7 linked regions of the Cricetulus griseus genome follow. The protein of the gene in region 5 interacts with the protein of the main gene of each other region in a pairwise test. Links are inferred from orthologs where the notes say so. Each region holds a gene or a part of one and is shown on either strand. Other genes may lie near its edges.

The links.
Region 1: the proteins of Exoc5 (region 5) and Rab4a interact in binary tests that used the Homo sapiens proteins (3 or more experiments, as listed by UniProt). The two-hybrid records come from large-scale screens. The link is inferred for Cricetulus griseus from reciprocal best matches to the Homo sapiens genes EXOC5 and RAB4A.
Region 2: the proteins of Exoc5 (region 5) and Rab14 interact in binary tests that used the Homo sapiens proteins (3 or more experiments, as listed by UniProt). The two-hybrid records come from large-scale screens. The link is inferred for Cricetulus griseus from reciprocal best matches to the Homo sapiens genes EXOC5 and RAB14.
Region 3: the proteins of Exoc5 (region 5) and Deup1 interact in binary tests that used the Homo sapiens proteins (3 or more experiments, as listed by UniProt). The two-hybrid records come from large-scale screens. The link is inferred for Cricetulus griseus from reciprocal best matches to the Homo sapiens genes EXOC5 and DEUP1.
Region 4: the proteins of Exoc5 (region 5) and Rab4b interact in binary tests that used the Homo sapiens proteins (3 or more experiments, as listed by UniProt). The two-hybrid records come from large-scale screens. The link is inferred for Cricetulus griseus from reciprocal best matches to the Homo sapiens genes EXOC5 and RAB4B.
Region 6: the proteins of Exoc5 (region 5) and Edrf1 interact in binary tests that used the Homo sapiens proteins (3 or more experiments, as listed by UniProt). The two-hybrid records come from large-scale screens. The link is inferred for Cricetulus griseus from reciprocal best matches to the Homo sapiens genes EXOC5 and EDRF1.
Region 7: the proteins of Exoc5 (region 5) and Txlnb interact in binary tests that used the Homo sapiens proteins (3 or more experiments, as listed by UniProt). The two-hybrid records come from large-scale screens. The link is inferred for Cricetulus griseus from reciprocal best matches to the Homo sapiens genes EXOC5 and TXLNB.

What each region holds. Positions count from the first base shown.
Region 1 is NC_048596.1:200,514,428-200,517,396, reverse strand, and holds the end of Rab4a (ras-related protein Rab-4A), read right to left. Parts: intron 2,282-2,969; coding exon 2,166-2,281; 3' UTR 2,149-2,165; intron 1,239-2,148; 3' UTR 686-1,238; downstream 1-685. UniProt on the Homo sapiens protein: The small GTPases Rab are key regulators of intracellular membrane trafficking, from the formation of transport vesicles to their fusion with membranes.
Region 2 is NC_048599.1:147,001,702-147,006,166, reverse strand, and holds the start of Rab14 (ras-related protein Rab-14), read left to right. Parts: upstream 1-1,597; 5' UTR 1,598-1,814; intron 1,815-2,929; 5' UTR 2,930-3,090; intron 3,091-4,465.
Region 3 is NC_048597.1:129,075,982-129,079,836, reverse strand, and holds part of Deup1 (deuterosome assembly protein 1), read left to right. Parts: intron 1-2,612; coding exon 2,613-2,807; intron 2,808-3,855. UniProt on the Homo sapiens protein: Key structural component of the deuterosome, a structure that promotes de novo centriole amplification in multiciliated cells.
Region 4 is NC_048602.1:8,748,293-8,752,147, reverse strand, and holds part of Rab4b (ras-related protein Rab-4B), read right to left. Parts: intron 1,580-3,855; coding exon 1,517-1,579; intron 1,428-1,516; coding exon 1,273-1,427; intron 356-1,272; coding exon 260-355; intron 160-259; coding exon 44-159; 3' UTR 29-43; intron 1-28. UniProt on the Homo sapiens protein: The small GTPases Rab are key regulators of intracellular membrane trafficking, from the formation of transport vesicles to their fusion with membranes.
Region 5 is NW_023276807.1:205,066,836-205,070,690, forward strand, and holds part of Exoc5 (exocyst complex component 5), read right to left. Parts: intron 3,020-3,855; coding exon 2,899-3,019; intron 1,306-2,898; coding exon 1,219-1,305; intron 1-1,218. UniProt on the Homo sapiens protein: Component of the exocyst complex involved in the docking of exocytic vesicles with fusion sites on the plasma membrane.
Region 6 is NC_048596.1:67,229,236-67,233,795, forward strand, and holds the start of Edrf1 (erythroid differentiation-related factor 1), read right to left. Parts: upstream 3,137-4,560; 5' UTR 3,012-3,136; coding exon 2,901-3,011; intron 1,944-2,900; coding exon 1,735-1,943; intron 1-1,734. UniProt on the Homo sapiens protein: Transcription factor involved in erythroid differentiation. Involved in transcriptional activation of the globin gene.
Region 7 is NC_048595.1:271,878,717-271,883,201, forward strand, and holds the start of Txlnb (beta-taxilin), read right to left. Parts: upstream 3,084-4,485; coding exon 2,651-3,083; intron 1-2,650. UniProt on the Homo sapiens protein: Promotes motor nerve regeneration. May be involved in intracellular vesicle traffic.

The sequences.
Region 1 (2,969 bases), on a different chromosome or scaffold from region 5:
AGGAAACATTGCTTGTTAGGAACTTTGCTAGGTGTTGTGGCCTACACCTTTAATCTCAGAACTCTTAAGGCAGAGGCAGATGGATCTCTTTGAATTTGAGCTCATCCTGGTCTACATAGCAAGTTCCAGGGCTACATAGTGAGATCCTGTCTCAAACAAAAACCAGGTTAGCTTGATAACTGTATACAGTAAAGGCATTTACATATTCCAGAAGAGCTACAAAGAAGTTTTGTGTGATCCACCTCTACCCTGTACTCACTCCAGTCTATCACAGGATGGTCTTGAGGTCATGATTGATAGCCTTTTGCTGTCTCAGCCTACTGAGTGCTGGGATTATAGATGTGTACCACCACACCGTGCATGATGGTAATGTGTATGGTGGGGAGTTGCTTGCTGGGGATCCAACTCAGGGCCTTGCACATGTAGAGTGAAGCACTTTACTACTGAGCCCAAGATTTCTTAAGTAGTATCCTTTGCCAGAGGTAGTGAGTTTCCTGAAAATGACTGCAAAATAATGTAAGATGTGGAAAAAGAGGCAGTGATGCTCTTATAATGGGTCTTCTAGCAGGGAGACAGACAGTGGAGGTCAAGGGTGATATGGAAGCCGGGCAGGCTGACTGGGGCCCACAGCGGCTCTTGCACTGACCTCAGTTAAGAGCCTTACAGTCCACAGAGCAGTCTAGTGTACTGTGCACGAGAAACTTGGTTCCACTTTATTTCCAGATGTTAGTGCGTCCTGTAGGTTTAGCATTTCAGGTGTGGATCACAGAAACAGTGTAAAAAGGACAAGAGGGATTAAATAAGAAACGCACTGACTGTTAGCGCCAGAGTCCTTTGATACTGAGTCATATGTGTAACCAACACAATGAGAAAAGCACGCTCACATTCACAAACTGCATTTCCTGTGAGTTGAAAAAAAAAAGCTTCTTTGAGTGCAGGATTCTACCATGTCACACTGGCTCTGTGCTGTAGGAACGTGCTGGGCTGTGTGCAGCACAAGCTTGATTTAACGGAACATGAAGGGGTAGGGATGTGGGGTAGGGATCTTTGCATACATGTGGCATCTAAAGGTATTGTCCGCTGAGTTAGTTTGCAGTATGGCTGCTGAGCCCTGTCTGCCAGTGTGCACTGATGTTTCCCCCATGAAGATCTACTTCTGTGCAGAGTAGAAAAGATGGTTGTAAAAACTTCAGACTCTTCAAGCTCCAGCAGCTGTGCTCCAGAAACCACCACTGAACCTGAGAAATGTTAGATACTTGATTAGATACTTGTGTGGTTGTAAACACAAAACAGCTCATGGCCCAACAGACAGGACAGACAGTTTCACCTTTGGATTAACACTGGTTTACCCTGCTAGATAATGCCATGGTGAGCTGAGCATGATGGCCTACACTCAGAATCTCAGTATTAGGGAGGCTGAAGCAGGAGGATTGCCATAAGGTGGTAGGCCCACCTAGGCTATATTATATAGTAAGCTCCTGCTTCAGCTTCTTTGACAAAAAAGTCCACTGTGGTAAATGGGAAAGAGCTATCAAAAGTATAGACAGGCTGTGGTGGTACACATCCCAGCACTCAGGAGGCAGAGGTAGGCAGATTTCTGAGTTCCAGGCCAGCCTGGTCTACAGAGCGAGTATGAGGTCAGCCAGAGATACACAGAGAAACCCTGTCTCAAAAAAACAAAAAACAAGGGCTGGAGAGATGGCTCAGGGGTTAAGAGCACTGCCCGTTCTTCCAGAGGTCCTGAGTCCAATTCCCAGCAACCACATGGTGGCTCACAACCATCTGAAATGAGATCTGGTGCCCTCTTCTGGCCTGCAGAGATACATGTATACAGAACACTGTATACATAATAAATAAATAAATCTTTAAAAACAAAACAAAAATGGAGTGCCTATTGGTTTCAGAGATGCTCCTATGGAGGTCTTCGTTAGGCCAAGTCTACTCCAAGGTTTAAGGAGCAGGAACTCTGTCACAGCAGGTACCTGCTCTGCCTTTGCTTCTGAATGGCTGGGAGGAGTTCCTATAGGGCCAGTGCTGTTGGGCAGGTCTCTGATTATCCATGTGGATCTCCTCTCCTGGGCTCCCCAACCCTCCCATTGCAGTTTTGCAACTCTTTTCTATCCAGCATGCAGGGCCTCCAGCACCCACCTGTGTTGCTGGCATGCCTAACAGCCACATTCCTGTGCATTTGGGGCCTGTGTACGCCGTGGTGACCGTAGCTGCCTCAGGGCAGCGTCTCCATACTGGATGCCAGAGCCCATTCTCTCTGGGTCCAGCTCACCTGAGGACCAAGAAAATGGCCATGAGTCCGTGCTCCCCAAACATGGTAAGTGGAAAAGGGCAAAGTGTAACGTACCGTGCAACTGTATCTTCATTGTGAAGAGCAAAAATATACTCACTAAAAGTATTTTATTATTTGCTTATTTTGGTTTTTGAAACAGCCTCACTATGTAGCCTTGGCTGGCCTATTACTTACTATGTACACCAAGCTGGCCTAGAACTCAGAGAGCTACCTGCCCCTGCCTGCCTGATGCTGGGATTAAAGGTATATGCCACCACACCTGACTGGGGGAAAGATGTCTTATTTTAAAAATTTATGTGTGTGGCCAGGCGTTGGTGGCACACCCCTTTAATCCCAGCACTTGGGAGGCAGAGGCAGGAGGATCTCTGTGAGTTCGAGACCAGCCTGGTCTCCAGAGCAAGTGCCAGGATAGGCTCCAAAGCTACACAGAGAAACCCTGTCTCAAAAAACAAAAAACAAAACAAAACAAAAATGTATGTGTGTAATACATGTGTGCAGGTGTGTAGCATATGGAGGCCAGAGCTCACCCTATGAGCTTTTTACTTGTTTTTGAGATACAGGCTGTCACCCAAGACCTGGGTGCTCTGCACCTCTGAGACACCTGAGCCTGAATTTTGGATGTTGAGTAGAACTATGTGACAGATTACATATATGAAACTAAATGAGT
Region 2 (4,465 bases), on a different chromosome or scaffold from region 5:
GCTTGGCATGTTTGTCCCCTGCCTCGGTCAACTTCGTGGGCCATAGAATCTGCCAAGGTCTCCTATGTAAGGTCCCCCACACGCATTATCATAACACCAAGTTCTACTGCTTGCTGGGGCTGGAACACAGTCCTCTCTTTCAATTACATTAGCACCAGCTTTCTGTTGTTGATCGTTTTCTTCACTGCTTAAGTTTTTCTTTAACTTCTTTTTAAAAGGTGGAAGCTTAGCTGGGTAGGGTTTTGCCTGGGTCACCATTCCCTTTATTCCTTTTAGCATCAGGCTTTTCTTTAAACCTTTTATCTCCTTGAACACTGGATTTAGCGCCATTACATTTCCCTGTGCTCCCTTTCTCAAACTGTACATTCAGCATTTCTCCTTGCCCACTTGCTTTTCACTGTAGATGTACAGAAGAGGGACTGCTAGTAACCAACACAGTCAATATTAGGTGATCTTGAAATCTCCCCTACCGATGCCATTAATCCAATTTGCTTCAATTCACCTCCACCAAAATTTTACAACGGCAGAAAGCGGCCACATTCTTTGTCAAAATATCACAAGAATGATCTCGAGGCCACTTACCAATATCCCCTCTGATATTTCTTGAGCTAGGCTTCCACAGTTCAAATTGCCCTCAGCACTGTCTTCCATGCTTCTCCTACCTCCCATTAAGCACAAGGCACAAGGATGGATACATTAATAACATATAGCAAGACGTTTTCTATAGCAAATAAGTTGATTATTTTTCTCCTGAATTTTTTTTTTGAGGGGGTGGGTGGGACGAGGTTCAATATATATTATTGGGCGGGGTAAAATAAAAATTAAACGTAAATATAAAACAAACCCATACCCAGGTTCTACAAGGAAAAAAAAAAAAAAAACTACGGTGAAAAAGACTTAAGACGAAGAAAGTAAAACTGTTGCTTTCACCGAGGTGTCTTGGGAAGGTGGGAGTGGTGGCCAAACAGTGAAAATGTTGTTTCCCTCTTCCTATCGAAGGTCCGCAAAGCAAGTTTAGGAGAGACAAAGATGAAACACTAGGCAGAAAGGGCCTGCTCCTAATTAAGACAAGTGGGTTGGTCAATGAGAGCCGCCTCTTGGCCTCTGACAGCACAAGAAGCCTCTCTGGGTGTTGGCCTGCCTTGTTCCCGGTAATCTCGAAGTGACTGGTAAATAATGAATAAATGCAGTAAATACGTGAGTGTCGCAGAAGCCAGTATACAGAAGCGGCCAAGTGAGAAGCAGATACGAGTATTAAAAACAGGTCTCCAAACGCGGTATTTCTGGACCCAGGGACCCCTTAGAACACAGCGTGCGAACCTGCGCAGCAACTTCCCCGGGAGGCGAGGGCATGCGACTGCGCTTGCGCAGGCCACTATCCCCGCCCTCTTCAGGCGTGAGGGCCAGTGGGGCGGGCCTCGGCCAGGGCGGGTCGACTCCAGAGGGGCGGACTGGGGAAGGGGCGTAGCCGTCGGGTCGGTTTCCGCCACCCGCTTCCGGGCTCCGCTGGCTGCGCGCGCATCCTCCCCCCTTCTTTTGTGGTCCGGCCCATTGCGAGGGTGACAGGAAACCCTGTGCAGGGAGCGCCGCCATCTTGGACCAGCCCGAGGAAGATCCTGAGGGAGCCGCAGGGTCAGCTGCCGCCACCGCCGCGACTGCAGCCCGAGTGTCTGCAACCTCAGGCCAGCCCGCCTTCCTGCTGGGGTCTCGGCCGACGGGTCCCGGCCGCCCTCCCGCCGCGTCCGCGCTCCGCTTCCTCGTCCTGACGTCCCCCTCCCGTCCGGAAAGCTGCCCAGCCACCAGCAACCCCCCAGGTAACCAGGGCCTTCCGCAGCGGCCGCCCGTCGCCGTCCTCCGGGCCCGGCCCTGCCGAGGGGCGGGGGCGAGCCGGCAGGTAGGCGGGCGCGCGTCCCGGGCAGTCCCGCAGGCCGCGGCCAGCCCGTGGTTGGCGGAGGGCGCCGCTCTGACAGCGCTCTGGGGCGAGCTGTCGCCCGCGCCACCCGGCCGGGCTCGTGCTCCGAGGGTGCGGGAAGGGTGTGTTCCGGCCTCCGCAGGCCCGGGTCTCGCCGCCTCTGCCCGCAGCTGCACATCACCCCCGCAGCGATTCCCCACGCGTGTCACCGTCCCGCCACCCACGAGCCCCGGCTGGGCAGTCCTGCCCCACAGGCCTTACCTTTCCGGCATCCCGGACTGGCTCCCGTGTCCTTGCGGGCACCCGGTTGTACCCCGGCCGGGGATACGGTCGCAGTACTGTTGACGAGGTCTTCGCTGTAAAGTCCCCGGCCAGCCTGCGCGGTTTAGAACCTAACACTACACAGCATCGAGAAATAACGAGGGAGAAAAGTTTGGGCATCTTGAGAATTTGAGAAAAGGAAGTGGCCCGGGGCTGCTTGGAGAGTTTGCACTGCACTGTGTGCCAGGCACGGGTTTAGGTGTCTTCACACGTATCTCGCTTCAAGTGCCTTTGGAGAGTTTTACGCATTTTTTATAAGGACTAAGGCCAGAAGTTGCGTGTAGCTGAGTAATGATGGCACACACAGACTGGCTTCTCCCTGCGCTGGCTGGTGTATTTTGCACCACACTACGTTCAACGAGGGTTGGATATGCAAGACGTGACCGTTTTAGAGCAGTGACAACTCAATTCCATTTTTCCTCTCTTTGCACTGGGTGATAAACAGATAACATCCAAAAGCTCTCATGTCAGCTGCTACACTGGTAGATGCTCATTGGAGGAGAGATGGTGGTAGGATTTGCTCTATTTGTGAAGAAAGCTGTGTTCTTGGTGGCTGCCCAGTTAAGTGCTAGAAACTCTTGGAAAGTTTACGGTTCATGGCATGTTGTTCTAACTACCTTTTATGTAAATGTGATCACTGAGGACAAGTTTGACCCCACAGTAATCCAGCTCCCTTTTTTCCCTTCCTTTCAACAGTTTTTCTCGGAAATTCACTGTAACTAGGAAGTGGCAGTACCAGAATAGGAATCCAAGCCATCGAGACTCCAAAACCTTAAGCTACACACCCTCAGGCATGAACAAGTAAAATCGCTCAAACAGTACTGCCACTTCCTAGTTACTTAATTAACCCTAACCAGGTAAGCTATCCCCCCACCCCCCCCAATTCAGTGTCCTTATTTGTAAAGGGAATAATCGTGCCCACATTTCAGTTATTTCTAGGATTAAATAGGACTTAAAGAAAGCACTTAGTACTTTGGTTGGCATGTAAGTGCCACAGTAACTCTTAATTTTGCTAGGCAAAATGGGTGTTTAATAGCTGTTGAATGAAAGGAGCTTGGCTTTGGAGTAGACCCTGGGCTTAATGCTACCTGCTCATTAAGTAGTATATAACCATCAGTATGTCATTTCTGACCTGGTTTCCTTATTTGTAAAATGAATTTTTAGGATTAGAGATTGTTTATGAAGTAGCTGGTTTATATTAGACACTTAGTAAGTGGAGTTACTATAATATAAAGATGTAAAATCTTAGATTCTCATAGCTATTGAAAATTCCTTGGAATTAAGGATATTTTTCTTTAAAAAAATCTGCTGTTTTCATGTTAAATTTTATACTTGTAAACTTCAACTTTGCAAAAGAGCTTGGAAATTTTTTGCAGCCAACTTTGTAAGTATATATTTGCATCCTCTTACCAAGACGTGTAAGATAAAAATGTTAAAACTAAGCTATTGGGATGCTTGTGTCATTAAAAAATGTTAGCAACATGGGGCTGGTAAGATGGCTCAGTCAGTAAAGGTTCTTGGTCCAAGCTTGACAGCTTGTGTGAGATTCTGGAACCCATGTGGTAGAAGGAAAGAATGACTTCCTGCTTGTTATTCTCTGACATCCACGTGTGTGCAGGCATACACACAAATAGCTATGAAAAAAGCTGTGGCAGGAGACAAATGTTAGTATTAAGAGACAACTTTATTATATAAGTTTCCATAATACTAGATTATATATGAGATACCATATTTCAAACTTTTCAAAGTCTGCAAAATAAAGCATTATATTGAATATCAGTTTAATGAGCATTACTATCATATTACCCATCAGTTGGTGTCTGCAGTGAACAGTCTTGTTTTAGCTATGCATTGCTCCTCCCATCCTCATCTGTATCTCAGATATGTCAGGAACATTTTTACTCTTATAATCCTTTCAAATACAGGATTCATAGTTTTTTGGTTAAGTATTTTTATGGAAAAGAGGGTGAAGAATTGGAGTATTTATTTCTTCATAGCATACTATCTTTAGTGGGAAGGTTTTGTCTTTCTTTTGGGACATTGTCAAGCAACCCAGTACTTTTAAGAATTTATTTACATTAATTTACACAAAAGTATAACCTTAAATGACTTGTGGAAAGTTGATTTCAGAAATGAACATGTTGTTTTCAGAGGTCGTAATACTATTATGGGAAGGAAATTGACCATTTTGATTAGATTATTAGATTAACTATGAAAGTTTTATGTCCACCT
Region 3 (3,855 bases), on a different chromosome or scaffold from region 5:
AGCTGACAGATGTGGCCTAGTTGTGGTTTGAGTCACACTCACATTTCTGAGGGCCCATAGTGGACCAAGCACTCCTCCAGGGGTTAAAAACCTAAGATGAGGAGGGTCTGGGCATGGTTCATATGGAGCCTGCAGTTCTTCATCCTTTTACAACCAATATATTTTCCTTGTAATTATTCTACCAGTTTCAATAGGAAATCTGCTGTAATGACAGATCCTGACTGGATGCGGTAATTCACACCAATAATCCTAACACTGGTGGAGGTTGAGGCAGACTCTGCGGGACAGAGAGAGGCCAGGGCACACATCTCCAGGCCCCTAGAGGCCCAGGCAGCAGTGCTGTGCAGTGCGATAATGGATGGCTGGGGTAACTAGCTGCAGCTTCCAGAAGTATCTACAAAGAGCATTTCCATTCCTTTGTAAGGACACTAACAAGTGCCGTGCACTATGAGTCTTGTGAGTGGTTTTTCTTTTGTGGGTCCAGAGCTGTTTTTAGTCATTTACTTTGTGATAAAATTCACATTTTAAAAAAGGATGTCACTGGAAGCAGATAAATCAATCCCATTTAGAAACACTCTCTATGGAAGAGCATGTTGTTTTAATATCTAACCACTGTAAACTAATAAAAAAAAATCTCAATCCTCTTTCAGAATAGCATATTCATTTTCTTAACTTTCTGAGTTTCTGAGTTTCACCACAGGGACATAGAGAGTAAAATCCAGCCTGCAAACTGCAGACAATACAGCTGGTTCACCAAGTAAACTGTAAGGACGAAAAATAGAGAGGGGGGATCAAAGAGATTCAGAGGGAGTAACCAAGATGGCCCAGTGGATAGAGGGACTTGGTGCTAAGGGCTTGATGACCTGAGTTCTAGCTCCAAGACTTATGGTAGAAGGAGTGAACCAACACCTATGAGTTCTCTGAACCTCTACGTGTGTGCCGTAGCAGGCATATGAACACACTAACAAATGTAATTTAAAGAGACCCATCACATATTCTGGGTTTAGGTCCCATCACCGAGACTCTTGCTTTGGGGAGCTGGACAACACACCTCAGCTCCTGTTTGCTGAATGGAAAAGTTAAGACCAAGTGATTTCTTTTTGTTTGTTTGTTTGGTTGGTTGGTTTTTTTTCATCTTTTTTTTTTATTTGAATTAGAAACAAGATTGTTTTACATGAAAATCCCAGTTCCCTCTCCCTCCCCTCCTCCCCTACAGCCCCCCCAACTAAAACCCTACCTATCACATATCCTTTCTGCTCCCCCCTGGAGGGTGAGGCCTTCCATAGGGGGTCATCAGAGTCTGCCATATCCTTTGGGATGGGGCCTAGGCCCACTCCCGTGTAAGACCATGTGATTTCTAAGTCTTAGTATTGGAGCAGGACCAGATAAGAAGTGGGTGGAGCCTTGCCCAGGATGCAGCACATTGGCATCTGGACAACCTCTGCATTAGGTCGTCTTTCTCTGGGTGTCAGTCCTAAACCCTGGCCATCCCAGAGTGCAACCCACCATGGATGGGGACACAGGTTCTAGGAAGTGACTGCCTTTCTTGAGGACTGTAACTAGAACGTGAAATTATGGGATTGGAGGGAAAGACTAGATACACACAAAGACAGCCAGGTGGGCATGGTAAGATCCTAATTCAGTTTCATAAACTTAAAGAGCATTGGAGTTTTGGGCCAATTTCACATTTGATTCTGCCTGATATGAAAGAACAGACTGTTAAGACACTATAAAGGGTATTCTGGGGGAAGAGAGAAGGACAGAAAAGGGGAGAGGGCCCCTTAAAGAGGAAATAGAAACAGCCATTTCTCACCTTCTAAGTGTTCAGGTATATTCATAAAAGTCTCTGTGCATTTTCTTGATTTCCCTCTCTGGCCTTATCTCTTGGAGCACAGATGATTTAAACACTCTAAGCTTACTCAGTGAACACAGCTCTCTGGCCCACCCTTGGCTGCCGCCTTTGCCTGGGAGTCCATCTTGTCCAGGATTTCTGGCTTCCATCTACCCTTCAGTATTTTGTCTCCTTTGGAAGGTCCATCCTGATACAAGCTGCCCACCTCCCAGCAGGTTAGGCACCCTCCAGGACATTCCTCAAGCATGTCACTACACTGTACTATAAATATCTGTTTATTTTTATCCCCCTACCCCATATGTGTGTGTTCTGAGAGAAGGATGGTTGTGTGATTTAATCTCTGACCCCCAAGGGTAAGATACAGTGAGTAATCTTTTTGTTGTTGTTTTTGGTTTTTGTTGTTGTTGTTGTTTAAGACAGGGTTTATCTGTGTAACAGTCCTGACTGTCCTTGAACTTACTTTGTACTAGGTTGGCCTCAAACTTACTAATATCAAACTGCCTCTGCCTCCCAAGTGCTGGAATTAAAGGTGTGCACTACCACACCTGGCTAACTGCTTACTTGAAACTTTAAGCAATGGACTTTAGGGGTTGGGAGAGAACTGTGAATTTAGTGAGCTGTTTGTTGGTCAGTACTAGTCAGAAAGGAGGTGCCATGGGTCACAGACATTCTCAGGAGAGAAGGACTGAGGGAGTCCAGCACAAGCCGCAGCTGCCCTGTGAGAAGGGCGGTTCATGTTTCTGGGTCACTCTCCCTGCAGATTAGAAGCCAGATGTATCAGGAGGAAGACCGATGCACTGAACAGGAACGCATGAGGATTGAGATCTCCGACCTCACGCAGGAACTTCACCGGAAGGAGATGACTATAGCAACTGTCATGAAGAAAGCTGCCCTTCTGGAAAGGCAGCTAAAGATAGAATTAGAAATTAAAGAAAAAATGTTAACCAAGCAACAGGTATGCGGGCAAGAAAACACTTTCCAGGGCTTGACTGTTGCTCAATGCTCATCCTAGCCCTCCTCCTGCACTGTCAAGAAAGAGCCTTGGGTGCCCCTGGGTCAATGTTTGACACCTGGTGACAGAGATACCTTGTGGTACCCCCTTAAGGCCCGTGCCATGCCACAAAGTATCATCAAAGGAACACTAGAGACCTACAGGACCACACATGCAAGGGCAACCAGTCCCATGCTGACCCTCCCCTGTAGCTGTCTTCCCACACCTCATACAGCCTGCTTCCTTCTGCAGTTGTTTTCAGTAGGACCTTTCCACTAACACTCTGCCCACATACACACACACACACACACACACACACACACACACACACTTAATGTATTGCCATTAGTGTTTTAAACATAGAGGCTACAGAATAAAAGTTGACCCATATTTACTAAACATCCATTCAGCATACAGTATGTCCTCAGAGACAAGCAGACATTTCGAGTTTCTACAGTTAAGACACTGCAAGGAGCCAGGCATTGGTGTTGCACACCTTTAATCCCAGCACTCTGGAGGCAGAGGCAGGCGGATCTCTGTGAGTTCGGGGCCAGCCTAGTCTACAGAGCGAGTGCCAAGAAACCCTGTCTCGGAAAAAAAGAAAAAAAGACACTGCAAGGGATGCTCATGCCCACCCTCCCTCCTATTTATGTTTTAAAGTTCCCTGCTTTCTTGTGACTAACCAAATTTGTAACCTGCTTTTAACAGCACAGGCTTTATGGCCTTTTCACTCTAAATCTAAGTGATTTTGGAGCACAAAACATGAACCAAGACAATCTCCACAACAACAGTTAAATCGTGTATGTGTATTTACAAAAAGGAAAGATTAGGCCTCCATCCAGTCATAGGCCTTAGACTGTACCACACACAGGAGAACAGCAACAGGGCAGGCACTACCTGGGCAGAAGACTGTGCAGATGGCCAGAGTGAGCAGCTGCACATGAATGACACTCATTTTCGTTTTCATATTGCCATGTTTCCTAGACTTTGTCAATGAGCGTATATTCTATAA
Region 4 (3,855 bases), on a different chromosome or scaffold from region 5:
CTTGCCTCCTGAGCCCTCAGCATCCCACCTGGCTCTGCAGGTCTCAGCAGCCACAGGGCTGAGGGGCCACGGCCTGGGCGCTGCGAGGCTGCCGCAGCTGGCGGAGGGATACATCACCATACTGAATTCCTGAGCCCATCCTCTCGGGGTCTAGTTCACCTGTGGTCGGGGAGAAGCCAGAAGTGGTCCTCAGAGGCCCTGGAGACGGCCTTTACTCAGCCCCCGGCCCCCAAGCTCTCAGAGAGCGGATGGGCCTCACCTGAGTCGATCTTATTGAGGATGGTGCGCGCGCACTTCAGGAAGGCTTCTTCCACGTTCTCACCCGTGAGAGCGCTGGTCTCCAGGAACATCAGCTCTGGAGGGGCAGGGGCTCTGTCAGTCCCCACCCACCACTCCAGCTCCGGGTTCCTTAGAAGCTCTACCCGTGCCTGCCCTTACCTCAGACACTGGACACATGTTCCCCTGTGGGGAATGCTGTCCCCTACCTACACGTGTAGCTAGCTCACCGACCTCGTCCTTCCCAACTCAGCTCCCCTGGCTCTGCCCCAGAAAACCCTGAGGACCCAGCCTGAGTCTCCCGTGCCTCCCCTGTCCTAGCAGTGACTTCTCTCTGATGTCACTGTCAGCAAAGGGCTCTTGTGCAGGCCCGCCTCTGCACTACGAGCCTGAGTTGAGCACTGACCCCAGACTCACTGAGCACAGCCCCAAGCCCGCCTCAGCCACCCAGAGGTCACATGGCAGGGCCTCCCGTCAAGCCCACAGCTGCCTGGCCACAAAACTTCTTCTAAACCTGGGGGTCTGAAAGGCAGGAGGACATGAATTGGCCATGCCTGTACACCCTCTACAGTCCTCAGGGGAGGCAGAGACCCCACAGAAGGTCAGGAGAGCCGGGTCAGCCTGGGCAACAGAGTGAGTCTGAAGCTAGCCTTCATTTACAAAGGTCTCTATCTCCACCGCCTCCTGAGTTTGCAGTAGCCACTTTCAACCCCTGCTTTATGTCGCCTCCCCATTGTGTAAGAGACTGACCAGCAGCTGCCCTGTACCAGGAGGAGCTAAGGGTGTGATGGGCAGTTCCCGTGGCCAGCACACTGCTCATCCTCTTTCTCCCTGAACCTGAAGACCACGGCAGTCACGTGACTCGGTGCTTCGAGTGAAAGCAGGCCTGCTGAGGCCTCCGCGCTTAAGGTACCACCATCCACCCGTAGCTAAGAGGCACAGTGGGCCACAGTGGGCTGGCCCATCCCTCCACCTGGTCCACAGCAAAGCCCTCACCATTCTCCTGGGCAAAGCGGGAGGCCTCTAGGAAAGTAACTTCACGCTCAGGGTCCAGGTCCTTCTTGTTACCACAGAGGATGACCACGATGTTGGGGCTGGCCAGCGTTCGGGCATCAGTCAGCCACGCCGCTAGCGAGTTATATGTCTCTCGGCTGTGAAGAACAGACAGAAGAGGGAGGCAGCCCAGGAGTGGGGCCATCCGTGCCCAGCCTCTCCCGTGCCACCCAGACCCTGCACCCACCTGGTGATGTCGTACACCAGCAGGGCTCCAGCTGCCCCTCGGTAATAACTCCGCGTCACCGACCTGTGGGGCCAGGGGGACCCAGTCACCCCCAAGGCTGGGATCTGCCCAGGGATTGCCCCCCTCTGTGGAGAGAGGCTAATGGTTCGGAGACCCCCCTTTACTGTTGGCCCATGCCCTAAAACGTGACCTTGGTCCTCTTGAGATACAGTTTCTCTGTTCACAGCCTATCTCAATTAGTGTTACGATTTGGGTTCGTTTTTGAGACAGTTTCACTCTCTAGCCCAAGCTGGCCTGAAACCGACTAAGCAGCCCACCTGGCTTCAATATTAAGGCAACTCCCCTGCCTCAGCCACCACACCCAGGGGCCTGGCACATGCTAGGTAGCGCTCCACACAGAGTGACACCCCAACCCTTTAGTTCAGTTTAATTCAACGACATGCTAACTTACCTAGGCCGACTCCAAATTCACTGTATTCCAGGCAAGCCTGGAACTTTCTTACTTAGTTATTTCTTTTCTGTGGGTGTGTGGGTGTGCACTGTACCACAGTGTGTACGTGGAGGTCAGAGGACTCTTGTAAGGACTGGTTCTCTCCTGAGCTCAAGCTAGGTCCTCGGGTGGACACCATGCACTTTGACCCACGGAGCCATCTTACAAGACCATGTCATCAACTTGCAGTCCTCCTGTCTAAGCCTTTCAAGGAACTGAAATTACAGGCATCTACCACCACACCCAGCGTAATTTTCCATAATTTCCTTAATTTTCTTTCTTGTCTGTCAGTCTTTCTTACCCTGTCTCTCCCATGCTCACTTTTGCCTTCCCTCATTCATTCCTTTCAGTGAGTCTGTCAGCATTTTCTCAGTGTCTCCCGTCTGCCCGTCCTGGCCAAGTGCCACACAACTTCTACATGGCCCTCTCCGCTGTCTGATGCAGGCCCCCTTTCCTGTGTGGCCAACTCCCTGTGTCACCAATTTGGATCCCTCTGGAATGCATGCACGAACTGCAAAGCCAGGCCATGTCACACTCCTGTCTCTGTCACCCTCTCTCTGCCTCCGGGTTCTCAGTACCTCACATGGTCAATCTGCACATGAGTTAACTTAGCAGTTGGCGCTCTCTCTCTCTCTCTCTCTCTCTCTCTCTCTCTCTCTCTCTCTCTCTCTCTCCCTCCCTCCCTCTCTGTCCCTCTCTCTCTCTGTATCTGCAGACTTACTAGGTGCCCAGCCCATACATCCCCCCTCTGCAATCCACTCACCTCTCTGTCTCAAGTACAGCTGTCCAACCCTTCCGGAACCTCTCTGCTTCTGACCTATCCCCTCAGTGCCCATTCTTGCCTTCATTACTCCTTCATCTTCGTCTCCCCTGTCTATGTCTCTTCTTCCCTCTAAGGCTGTAAGGTTTCAGTGTCTGTCTGTTTTAAGATTCCTCTTCAAACCAGGCCGTGGTGGCGCACACCTTTAATCCCAGCACTCGGGAGACAGAGGCAGGTGGATCTCTGTGAGTTTGAGGCCAACCTGGGCTACAAAGTGAGTTCCGGAACAACCAGGGCTGTTACACAGAGAAACCCTTTCTCGAGAGAAAAATAAAAAAATCACAGGCGGTGGTGGCGCATGCCTTTAATCCCAGCACTTGGGAGGCAGGGGCAAGCAGATCTCTATGAGTTCGAGACCAGCCTGGTCTATTAGAGCTAGTTCCAGTATAGCCTCCAAAGCTACAGAGAAACCCTGTCTTGAACCCACCCACCCCCCCCCAAAAAAAAAGAAGCAGTATGGTAGCATTGCTTTTGGGCTGGAGAGGTGGCTCAGAGGTTAAGTGCACTGGCTGCTCTTCCAGAGGTCATGATTTCAATTCCAGCAACCACATGGTGGCTCACAACCATCTGTAATGAAATCTGGTGCCCTCTTCCCTCTTCTGACACGCAGGCAAATGTAGAACATTGTATACATAATAAATAAATGAAATCTTTAAAGAAAAATCCCTCTTCAAACACTACACTACTCCTTGGGGCTGGAGAGATGGCTCAGCAGTTGGTTAGTAAGGCTTACTGCTCTTGCAGAGGACATGGGTTATATACCCAGCACCCAAATGGCAGTTGACAACTACCTATAGTTCTAGCCCTAGGGTATCTGATTCAGTCTTCTCATCTCTGGGGGCTCCTGCACATATATAGTACACATAGTATGCTTAGGCATACACACAAAGACATTTACTTAATTAGCTAATTAAAAAAAAAAAAAACTCTACTCCTTATCTACACCCTTAAGCCTTTTATTTATTTTTTCCTTCTCTTTGGTCCTGAGGACAGCACCAAAGGTCTTGTGCAAGCTGAGCAAGAGTTCTA
Region 5 (3,855 bases):
TTCCTATCATTACAAAACTACTTGGTGTTGGCAAACTAGACTTCAGAAAAAAAAAAAAGTCATTCTATGACTTGATCAAATCAAAGAGCTCCTGGTTTTATCATCTTTCTCCCTTGAAAGGATCTTGGAAACCTACCACTAGTTACTTACTTCATAAGTAAGGATCTAAGTCAAAGCCATACATAGAGAATATTTAGGAAAGTGGAAGATAAAAGGCTTAAAAAGAATGGCTGTGGTAGCAAGCACATTGAGTCCCACAGTCAAAAAATAATCAGGAAGATGGAAAAGTGGTACTAAATCCCAGCTGAAAAATAAAGGCACTGATTAGAAGGCACCAATAATATTTAACTCATGTGACATCCTCCAACAGCAAGCTTATGGGGATAAAAAAAAGACTACACTAATTCAGAGTTTAGTAGTTGCAAGACAGTCAAAATGATAAGCTTAATGTTAAATTCAAGAAACAGACCACATAATTAAGCACAACAATAATGAGGTCAAGTTACAAAAGGATAGTAGAACAACGTAAGATGCTGAGATTAAAGGATATAGATCACATCACAGTCCTTGTACTGTGTCTGATATATCAGCAAATACTTGATAACCAGGGGCTATACTAATTTTCAATCAATATAAGAAGACCATGTTCTGAAAATAGAAACCTGGAAAGTAATAGTATTTATAGTCTTCAGTAAAGATTATAAAGTTTTAAAATTCACTTAGCAGAAGTTACATATACAAAACCAATACAATTATTAAAATATTTCATAGATAAGCCAGAGCACATTAAATGGAAATATAACAAACACTGAATACCTTTGTTGCTTCAGCAGAATTTAGGATTGAACCAAGGGTTCCCCACACTCTAAAATGGTCTACCCCTGAACTACATCCCAGCCCAACATCTTATTTTAAAGGAATTTGTAGCTTGTACATGTGTGGTGCAGACGAGTGGGGTTTAAAAGGGTTTTGTAACTGTTTTGATTTGAAAATATATCTAAGCATACTAACTTTGAAAAGAAAAACATACCAAAAAACACCTTGGGGATTAATAAAAATAGCATTCTCCTGAAAATAAGAACAATGTGTTAAAGTGTCAACTTTACAGCCAGAAGAATAAAAATAAACATACTTTCTTTTATAAAAACCATGTTCATGCTGCAATGCAAATGCACTTCTACAATTATTAAAAATGCAGGAGAAAAACAGTTAACTTACCTATCGATGCCAGTATCCAATTTCATTTCCATCTGCTCAATTATCTCTTTTTTCTTCTGAAGGCATTCAGATAACTTAGGAGAAGAGCTATTGTTTATTAAGGAGGAAAACAAACTCCCATTAATAGCCTACTTTCTATGTTTCTAATCTGTACAACATGAATACATATTTGTAAATAGACTGTAACACCCATTATTTTTATTTGCTCATATACACAATAATTATAAAATAAATCATTACATACAATTATGTACATTAACATACCCAATTCATTAATACTAAAAAAATTAACCCATTAAAAGCAAAGAAAAAACAGACTTGTTACTCTAATCACTGAGGAGATAGCACTTTGAAAATTTGAAACTAGTTTCCTCTGTATCTAAATATCTGGTATAATAGTAAGAAAAGTAACAGATAATCCTACTAACAAAAATGTGGACAGTAGTAAGTAAATCCTGCTACATTTAGCTTTTTTTAAAATAAAAAGATACAAAACCTAATAACCATGGTAGGCTTCTGAATACTATTAAAACATTAAGGAATACACAACACTAACACCTCTGTGAATTCTCTGTTATGACATGCAGCTTTTTACAAAATAATTCACTAAGAAAACTTCCTAAACTGGGCTTGGTGGCTCATGCCTGTAATACCTGCCTAAGCTACACAGCAAAACAGTAAATTTCCTTTCAAAGTATGATTCAGGAATAATAAGTGATCTGTGAGCTTGTTTCTCGTCTAGACATGTCATAGAACTGTTTATAAAAAACTATGAAACTCTCTAGTTTATCTGAACATTTCCTGTATAGATAATTGTGCTAATGACACAATTTTATGTAATATATATATTATACATTACTCCATTTAATTTCAAATGCTTTAGAAGTCCATATAAATTAATATGAAGATATGAATAAAATCTTAATGCATTATCAAAATTTGTCCATTCATGTTTTTTTGTATGTCTTTATAACAAGTGTATCGTGTCTATTGGTGTGTATATGTGTGTGTGTCTATGTGTACATGTTACTTGGGAGTGAGCCCAGGAGCTTGTAGATACTAAAGCAAGCTCTACCACTGAGCTCAGCCTTAACTTTTTTTTAAAAGAAGAACTTTTAAATTTTATTTTGAGATTACAATATAATTACATAATTTCTCTATTCCCTTTATTCCTCCAAAGCCCTCCTATATACCCCTCCTATCCTCAGCCCTTAGAAAAAGGAAAACAAAAAGCAAACACAAACAAAAGAAAGCACCTTTAAGACTGGGTCTTAGTTGTCCAAGCTGACTTTGAAATCATCATGTTGACTAGACTGCCTCAAACTTGAGATCCTCCTGCCTCAGCCTCCTGAGTAGATAGGAGTACAGGTGTGCCCCACCATGTCTGGTACCTGTTCTGTCTTCTGAAGGATGTGAATTTGCTGAGCTGCACTAGGCTGGAAAGCCTTGTTCATGTTAGATTTCCAATTGGTTTATGATACTTAAAACTTTTCAAATATATCAAAATTAACAGCACAGTGGGAAGAGAAAACAAGAATTCAATGAATTCAAGGAAGGAAGAAAAGACTTTGGTTTCAAACCTACTGTCCTGTTTGGTGTTTCATAAACACGTATTATTTAAAAAATAATAAAAGCATAATACTCATTGAAATAACAATGAAAATATGAAATGCAACTAACCTTATTAGTGGCATAAGGTGATCATTAAACTGTTTGTCAAAAAGATGAAAAATAGTATTGGCCTGTTGTACAACATCCAAAAAATAGAGATTTGCATTCCTAGAATCTGATGATGGAATTCCTAAAATTGGAAGGCACAAATAAATGAGAACCAACCTTGAAAAAAGCTGGGCAAAAGAAAAGAATGATTTTATATATACCACATGAATAAAAGTAACTGTCATTTAATAAATCAGCAATGATTCTATAGAATTTTGTTAAATAGTTTAATAAAATTCATTCAAAGTTAACCATCCTCATGGTTCATTTAGATAAAAATGAATCAACAAAGCACCTGTTAGTATTTAGGCACCTGTACTGGCCTGCCTTTGGAACCCTGACAGGATATGCCTCAGCTGCTGCCACTAAGAGCATCACCTGTGCCCTGTTAAAAGGGTCCTGCCCACCTTCCATCCTTCTCTCTCTCTCTCTCTCTCTCTCTCTCTCTCTCTCTCTCTCTCTCTCTCTCTCTCTCTCTCTTCCCCCCTTTCCTCTCTCCCACTGCTCCTGAACCCGATGATATCCCCCCTCCCCTTTCCACTTTTTATGATTCTTTCCCCCTAATAAAAAAGCCCCCTGCTTGAACTCTGTTGCATGGTCTTTCTCTCTCCAGTCGCTTTTTAAAACTTAACAACAGTCTGGGCTCTACCTTCTCCTTCTTTCCCCACCTTTGACCATGTCACATGAACACTTCCAATAGTTTTTCTTATAACCTGGTCTCCCTCCTGCCCTCCCTCTGACAGTTAAAGTTGTGTTCCCTGTGGTCTTCTAGTTCAGGGTTACCCTCTCCTGTAAATTACACACAGCATTCATCATACTCTATCCACTCTTTCCTCAAAAATATTCAAAATCTCATCATCTCAGACCCGCATTTCCTCAACATCTCCTACTATTCTGTGTGGTAGGCAACCACATTCT
Region 6 (4,560 bases), on a different chromosome or scaffold from region 5:
TGAAAAACAATTTGTATTATCACAAACCCCAAACCTTTCCAATGTAAAATAGTTCAAGACTTTATTCTTTTAACACGTGGAGAAGAAAAACAAAATATGAAATATATGATTTTGTGAGTTATATAATACCAATAAAGAAAAAAACATACCTGAAATCAATTAAATCAGAAAGAGAAAATGAAAAACTGGTGAGCACCCAACTCATTCTGAGTTACCACATGAGGCTCATCTACGTGATCTACAAGCTTGAAAAGCAACTGATGTCACCATGTTCCCATTAGTAAGTGAATGAGTCGGGACATTTACCTAGGACTGCATGTGTTTAATATGATTTTCCATCTACTCTGCATAAACAGGCTAACCTTGATTCCTCATTTGCAAATTGTTAATAGTGTCTATCTTAAAAAGATGGTTGTAAAAAACACAGAAAAATAATCTAGCATAGTATTTATATAGTAAACATAACTATTTAAACCAACTCACATTTAATACAATTAAGCCATTTTTAAAATAATAAAAATATATGGTTATTTTCAGACTTTTCATAATATCAAAAATGCTACAAATAAACAACTTGTGCCCAGCACTCAGGAGGCAGAGGAAGGTGGATCTCTGTGAGTTCCAGACCAGCCTGGTCTACAAGAGCCAGTTCCAGGACAGCCTCCAAAGCCACAGAGAAACCCTGTCTCAACCCCCCCCAAAAAAAAACAAAACAAAAAATCCAAAAATAAACAACTTGTGAACATGGCTTTTAGCCTGAGGCATCTGGATAATTTCTAAACTACTAGCTCATAGGGTATCAATGTTTGTGGTTATTGCCATATAAGTTATATGAAAATATTTTAAGTCCAATCATTCAGGGGAAGAAAAAGAACACACAGTAAATGGTCAACAAGAATATGGACACTAGCTAAGACCGAAGGACACTCTTAACTTTAAATATCACCAGTAGAATTTCCACTGTGGGCCAAAGATGTAGGTTACCCAGCATGTGGAGTTTTTAACCTCAGGCTTTTTCAAATACTACATCACCATTTAATAAAAACTCCAAGCAGGGTGTTGGTGGCGCACGCCTTTAATCCCAGCACTAGGGAGGCAGAGGCAGGCGGATCTCTGTGAGTTCGAGACCAGCCTGGTCTACAAGAGCTAGTTCCAGGGCAGCCTCCAAAGCCACAGAGAAACCCTGTCTTGAAAAACAAAAACAAAACAAAAAAACCCCCCAAAACCAAAAAGATAAAGACCCCTGCCCACTTTGCTGCCCGGCATTGGTGGCGCACTCCTTTAATCCCAGCACTCGGGAGGCAGAGGCAGGAGGATCTCTGTGAGTTCGAGGCCAACCTGGTCTACAGAGCAAGTGCCAGGATAGGCTCCAAAGCTACACAGAGAAACCCTGTCTCGAAAACAAACAAACAAACAAAAACTCCAGACAGCAAGCTAAGTAGTGGCTCAGGTCTTGCTCCTTACACACCACCCTATTTGCACATATTCAGAGCACATACAAATGGATAAAACAGCTTATTAGCAGTCAATATTCATGTTTGTTAAAACATGCTACAGACTTAAAGAAAGCATATAACTCCAATGTCATCTTATTGCACCATGAATTTGAAAGACAGCTATAAATTTTTATTAAACATATCTGAACAAATTAATGTGTATCTCAAACTGAACTGGGAAGCAGCTTTAACTGGGGGTTTAAGGGGAGGGGAAGAAATGCCAGCGACTAAAATTTACCTCGAAAATGGCTTGCTTTTCTTACTATTGCCAAGAATGGTAGTTCCTGCTGGCCCTAGTTTGGCACTCTCTCGTAACCAGTTGGCAGGTGGGAGTTTCAAGTCTGTTTTTTCTTCAAGACGTGCAAATGCTGTTCGAGGAGGGGCAGAAGAATATTTCACCACGGCTCGGCTTTTCACTTCATTGCCTCCAAGAAATAAAGCTGATCCCTAATTAACACAGGGAGCGAAGCCTTAATGAATATTGCTGGGAATGACAATCTCACCGTCATACAAGAACCCACCAAATCAGGCTTCACAAGGAGCCTATGCTGCCAGTCAGCTGTAACACTTAGACTCAAGCTTCAATTATGCTTACCTAGCTGTTTTCCATTAAATGTAAAAAAGAAAAGGATCAACTAAGAAGTGGATAAAGGCCAACCAAACTGCTTTTTAAAATACTGGGCATAGTGGTTGCACACGTGCGCTCCCAGCACCGCGGAGGCAGACACAGAAGGGTCACTGCGAGGTCTAAAGCCAGCCTCACTGGTCTACACAACCAGTTCCACACCAGTAATGACTACCCAGTTTGTTGAGTCACATACAATGGAGCATCAGAAACCAAACGCGCTTAATTGTGTCACGTTAACTGCATGCAAAATGAGCAAGACCGGTGAACGGGTTTAATAGAATATTTTAGTTTAGCATACATCGAAGACACTGTAGGAAGATACTGGGTCGTGTTTATTTTATCAAACCTACAGCGACTGATCGATTCGTAAACTCATCCTGAGACAACACACTCCGGTGCAAGCTCAGAGTCCGGACTCACATTCATTAGAGCCGCTTTAGGCTTGACAAACACTTTGCGCCTTTCAAGGTATCAGCTCAGTCAAGATTTAGGTGAGGCCCTCCCTGGCACTGTCCCTTTTTCCTCCGCCCTCGGAAGGCCGTGGCACATTCGGTAACCAGTCCCATCAATTACCCGCGCGTGGGAAACCAGGTGTGTTCTGCATCAATGCCTTGCAAGCAAACACCTGCAAACCCGACGACAGGCACACCCGGTGACTCCTTCCGAACCAGAGGTGCCAAGGAGGCGTGGAAGTAAGCTCCAGAAGCCCCGCGATCTCCCGTCCAGGTCCGGCGGGCACGCAAACCCCCGAGTCCCGGCAGGTCCCGAAGCCTCACCTGGGCAGAAGAAGGTTCCTCGGATTCCGCCTGGGACAGGAGGCTGAGCCCTCCTCGGGCGGCCGCCCCTGGAGGCGAAGCCTCGGCTCCTGCTTCCTTGGGGTCCCCCATTATTTCCGCCCCGGGGGAGGCGGCCAGACGCGCGAGCCCAGGAGCCTGCGACAGGAACGCGGGCCCAGAGTCGCAGGAGAACCGCAGTGCGAGAAACTCGGACGCTCAGCAGCTCGCACTTCCGGCGGCTGACAGGAAGGGCTCGAGGTGACGCGATCAAATCTCGCGAGATTTTTACCCCAAAGGTCCAGCCGGTACTCCGACTATAGCTCCTCCCTCGGAGAGGGTCCGGAGCAGCAACACGCCGGCGCCTGTCACATCGCTCGGGCGGCCACTTCTCGCGATATCCGACGCCCGGGCTCCTCCCCCTCGCTCGCGGTTGGTCTTTGTTGGCAAACAGTTATCAGGAGTTGAGTCAAAGTCCGGGCGGTAGGGGAGGGGTTCCCGTGATCAAAGCCGGTGGCGCCGGGCCTCACAGGCGGTTCGTACTCTCAGGGCGTCTCGAGCTCCACGCGCGCGGGGACCACCTGTGGGTCTTCGCACTTTCAGATCGGTGGAGGGCCAAGACCCCGCGTTTCTCCCTGAGGCCGCTCCAGATCTCTGCACTGTAAGGAGAGAAAAGTAATCAGCCTGATCAGTAGTTTTCTAAGCAGCGTCCCGTGCAGCCCTGGCTGGTCTTGAACTCGCTGAGTAGTGGAGGGTAATCTTGTACTTGGTATTCTCCTGCCACCAGCTCCCAATTCTTGCGTTTATTCCAGCCTGGGGATGGAACCCAGGTCTTCGAGTAGGTGAGGCAAGCACTCCGAGCTACATTTCTAGCTCTGCACCTAATATCAGACAGGCTTTCTTTGCCACATTCCCCATAAAATATATTTGTTTGTAAAAGGTATTAAGGTTTTTGAAAAACACTTTTGTGTTGTGTGTATGAGGTTCTTTGCCTGTACATACACGTATGTGCGTGTGTGTATGAAATGCTATCAGAATCCAGAAGAGGGCATCAGATCTCTAGGAACGGAATTACAGGCAGTTGGGCATTGCCTAACGTGGGTGCTGAGTACTGAACTGGGGGGTCCTCTGTGTGAGCAGAAAGTGTTCCTATTTACTGAGCCATCTCTCCTGCCCTGAGGTATTATGTTTTTGGTTTACATGTTTTGGCCTTTGCAGTTATTTGGTTATGCCAGGTTATACTTTTTCATTAGGCTCTGAGAATTCAGTAATTGCATCTTTAGGAGTCCTTGTAGCAAGCGGGTGCAGTCTGCATATTGTTTTCAAATTAAACAAGACATTTTTATGAGTTAGCATTTTGATACATATTTTGCAGACATTTACTTTAAAGCATGTCTTACCGTTTTTAAAAATTACTTTGTGCGGGGCGTTGGTGGCACACGCCTTTAATCCCAGCACTCGGGAGGCAGAGGCAGGCGGATCTCTGAGTTCGAGGCCAGCCTGGTCTCCAGAGCGAGTGCCAGGATAGGCTCCAAAGCTACACAGAGAAACCCTGTCTCGAAAAACCAAAAACCAAAACAAAAAAACTACTTTGTGTGTTTTACAGCCAGTTACTGTTATTGTTGCAATTTGTTGTTTAATACATTACAAGGACTGGAAACCC
Region 7 (4,485 bases), on a different chromosome or scaffold from region 5:
TAGTCAGTGATGATGAGTAGAATGTCCCACAAGGAACCCGTTTCTCTGGCATATTTAGAATTGTTATTCAGAGAAATGGCAGCCCTCTGCAGTCTCAGGGAGGCCACTGAGCAGCTTTCTTTTATAAAAAGACTTACAAATATCTACTAGTTAACCACAAATGGCAGGCAGAGCCTTACCTTGTCTGGCAACCTCCTTCTGCCCAAAGAAGCCCACAACCAGAACTTAACACTAAGGTTGGAAGAAACAGTTTCTGAAGCCAGAGCACCCTTTTCTTCTACAACCTGCTTTCTGTCACATTGTCACAGTGCCTTGGGCTGGCTTTATGTGCACCAGTTCTGAATCTCTGTGCACGGCAGAGTTTTGACAAGCTCTGAATTTGGTTTAAACACACAGTCAAGTTTGTAGACAATATTGCAGCACCATGTAATGATCAAGTAGCCAAGAAGTTTCCTAAAGCCACTTGTAGGCAGCTAAGTTGGAAGTGGAGGTTTTATGTGTAGGCTGGCCTGAAAATGTTGTTATAACTAGGAGCGTAGCTGAGACTGTACTGTGTGTAGAAGAATATGTTAATGATATAGAGTGGGATAGCACAGAAAGGCCACCAGCCCACACATGCTGAGAGTTGGCCTCTGATGCACAAACAGAAATTCTAGCCAAACGCATTGGGCTGGAGCTTGGTAATTTGTAGAGAGTGGCAGGAAAAAAAAGTAATTTTTTTTTCTCATTCTGAAAAAACTGTCCTAATTATTTGGTAATTGTAAGTACTATATAGATTTATAAAATAATTCATGGGAGAGTATGTAGAAGCTCCAGTTGGTTGTCTTTAATTTCCCCTTATTTTCCTCCTGCTTTGTCCCTTAGTATAGCCAATACACAGAAATCTCTATATAAATGGTTTAGGAGGATATGCACAATGGTTCAGGAACATCCTGGATCCGTAATGTAACGGTGCCAAGAGGCACATCCAAGATGATTTGATTAGAAAAGTGAAAAATTGCTCTTTAACACAGAAGGCCATTATGATGACTCCTGGTATTCTAGAATGATTCAGACTTGCATGTTTGGAATGTGAAAATATATTAAATGTTGTGATCTTTGTGTGTGTGGCAGCGGGGTGGGGGGTGTCAGGTGTATTGCTGGAAATCCTTTTCTTAATGAGTTTTATGCCCACAATGGTCCCCTATTCTAATGTTTACAGGTAGAAATCTGTTACTGGAGCGTGTGGAGTATGAACAAAGTTCAGACTCAATGCCCTTGGTATTTCACTCTATCACACTATACAAATGAACAAGGTGTGGTTACTCCTTGAGAGCTCACCCATCTAGCATGGAAGCTGGAGAAAATTTAATGGAGACGTGAGAAAGGTGATGCTAACTCAGTCTTACATGGGAAGTAGTCTTTGAAGTGATCGCTGTAGTGGCAGTCACTACTGGGGACAGACTGAGGGGTTTTCCTATATAGTAATGTTTTCAGCCATAGCTTCAAAATTAGCATTCTTTCCCTTCATCCACAGTTATTGCTGGTGCTACCAATCCTCAATGCTCTTAAAAAAAAAAACATGTTCTCCTCTGCCTGTTTCTGCTGCATCATGGTGCATGTGTTTGCTTTTCTATCTGTACCAAGAGGCCCTTAACCAAAGGATCATCTCTTTTTGTGCTCCCAGCACAGTGTGTCATAAGCAGGCCTTAACACATGATCATGAGACTAACAATAGATGAGTGCAGTTATAGGTCTTCTGTCATTTGTGGCAAATGTAACCACACTTTTTGTGATCTGTGCTTAATCAAAAATATTTTATAGTAAGTGATCTAACTGATAATTATTTTATCAATGAACTTATCCCTATTTACTATATTTTGCTTATTTACTAGGATTGCTTTAAATTTCCAATTCATATAATTCATCCTTAGCAAATATCTGTTGAGCTTTTAATTTGTCATCTCCTATTTTGTACCCATACACACATACATTGATTTTGATATTGAAAAAAATTCAATTGGGAATTAGATATATTAACCAAATACTCTCCTCCAAAATGTATAATTCAAAATGCTGGCTAGTACTATGAAAAAAGGAAACATGGTACAATGCAGACTCAAAGAAGTTACAACTTTAGAATTGGGCTTAGAAATTGCCATTTGGTTTTGAGTTAAATGCTAAGTAGGGGTTCTCTGCTCAGAAGGCTGGAAGGGTGGCAGAGCAAAGTGGGCAGAGGTTTCTAGGTAGAATGTGCAGGCGCCTTTGGAGAAGAGAACAAGGAAGTTCAGAAAACCAAAATGCAAGATGAGAATAAATGACTGCACTAGTGGTGGGATCAGGGGTAGAAAGAGAAAGAAAGATGCTCGGGATAGCGTGAAATGAGATCAAGCTTAAACTGGTTAGGGTTAGATCAGTTTAAGGGACTAAAAAAAAAAGTCACAAGAATTTTGATGTTCTCTCTAAGAGGATCGGGAAGCCACATAGGTAGAGTTGATAGGCACTGTGTTAAAATTTTACTTTAGTTTTATTTAAAGGAATGGGCGTGGGACAAATACAGCCCCAAAGGAAGATATTATATTAATTCAAATGTATTAGACATGGCTTTTAGTGAAGTTAAAGCAAATGGGATAATTAAGAGAAAAGTCATATATGAGGACATAATACTTGCCTAACCCTTTTAGGATCTTCTTTTCCAGTTTCTGCTCTTTATTGCTGACAGGCTCCTTGGCAGAGGCTGGCTCTTCAGAAGCAGTGGCTTCTCTGTCTGTCTCTTCAGTGGTTTCTTCACAGTCCCCATCCTCATTGTCCAGCATCTCTGTGTTTTCGGGCTGCTCCTTAGCTTCAGTGGTACCCTCTGTCTCTGTGGGGCTGGCAGCAGACCCATACATGTTTATGATGTCCTCCAGCTGTCGGTTCAACTCTTCAGAGATGTCATGGGTGCCCTTCTCAGGGCATACACTTGTCTCCTGCTCTGGTACTTCGAGTGAGGTTGAGGGCTGCTGGCCATCTTGCTTTCCCAGGCCATTTTGCTTGAGTGATGAATTGTCCCCTGGGGGTTTTGGCTGTTCAGCTGAAAGCTGTTTAGGGTGATTAGTCTCCATATGGGAGTGGTATCTGGTGGGAAGAACAGTTAGGTTTTATGTAATGAACCCACTTACAGATTAACAATAAAGATATCTCTTATATAGGTACCAGTTAGTTAGTTTCTGTCGCAGAAAAAAAAAAAAAAAAAAAGAACTATCATATACCACTGACACTAAAAATCAAGTCATGTTACTGTCATATTTTGGGTGTAATCTTCATATTTTAGTAGTATCTTTTATTGCTGAAATCCTCTGAGTTAATTCATGGTATTGTTTTGTGTATGAATATATTTGTTAATTTGTATTAAGATTTTCATGTGTGGACTTCACAGTCCTTTGAAGTACACACATATAGACATTCTCTTTCAAAGCTAAAATATTTAATGCAAGAACCATTGTGCTTACTAAAAATCATTCATAATAGTTACTTCCCTCAGCTATTTTAAATCTTTATGTAAAAATTCAATTTGCATAATTTAATATAAATACATTATTAGGTAAAATCCCTCTTAAAGTATTTTTTTCCTGATAATGAGCAACATGCAAGGAGCAAAAACATCAAGGAGAAAAAACATTTTTGAGCTTCAGACTAGCATTATTTTTTAATTAAAATGGGGAATGAGGGAATGTATAAATAAACCAATAATATGGAAGAATGATGGAACTTATAAGCGTTATTTTCATGTGCATACATGTGTATGCACATGTGTGTGCACATTGGGGAAGACAGAGAAGGCTGTCAGGTGTCCTGCTCCAGCACTCTCTACCCTATTCCTTGGAGACAGGGTCTCTCACTGAACCCACCACTAGGCTGGCAGCCAACAAGACCCAGCTAATCTTCCTGTCTCTTTCCCTAACAGCACTACAATGACAGGTGCATTTAACCTCACCCTGGTTTTTACATGGTTGTTAGCATCTGAATTCAAATCCTTTTGCTTATAGAGTAAGCACTCTTACCCATGAGCCATCTCTCCAATCCATTTACAATAGTAGTTCCTTAATTGCTGTACTACTATATTCTTCTACTCCAAAAATTGACCTTATTTTAGAAGAAATTACAATCTTCTAAGTCATAAAGTTCTAAGAAAGGGTAAGAATTTTAAGAAAAAGCAATGTATAATAAACAGGGAGTTCAAAGTAGAGAAATAATTCAAATACAATATGGGCTCAAAGCAGGTGTAGTGGGGCATGCCTGTCATTTTACATAGAGGCAGGAGGATAGGAAGTTCAAGGTCATCCCAGCTACATACTGAGTCCCAGGCCTGCCCCAGCTTATGATCCTGTCATCCATCAGCAGCTGCTGCAGCTGCTGCAACAACACCACGCAGATACAACACGGACTCTGAGAAATATAGAGCAATACAATCAGTTACATGAAAGAACCCACTTCGAGTGTCGGATAGACTTGGCATAGGTTTTT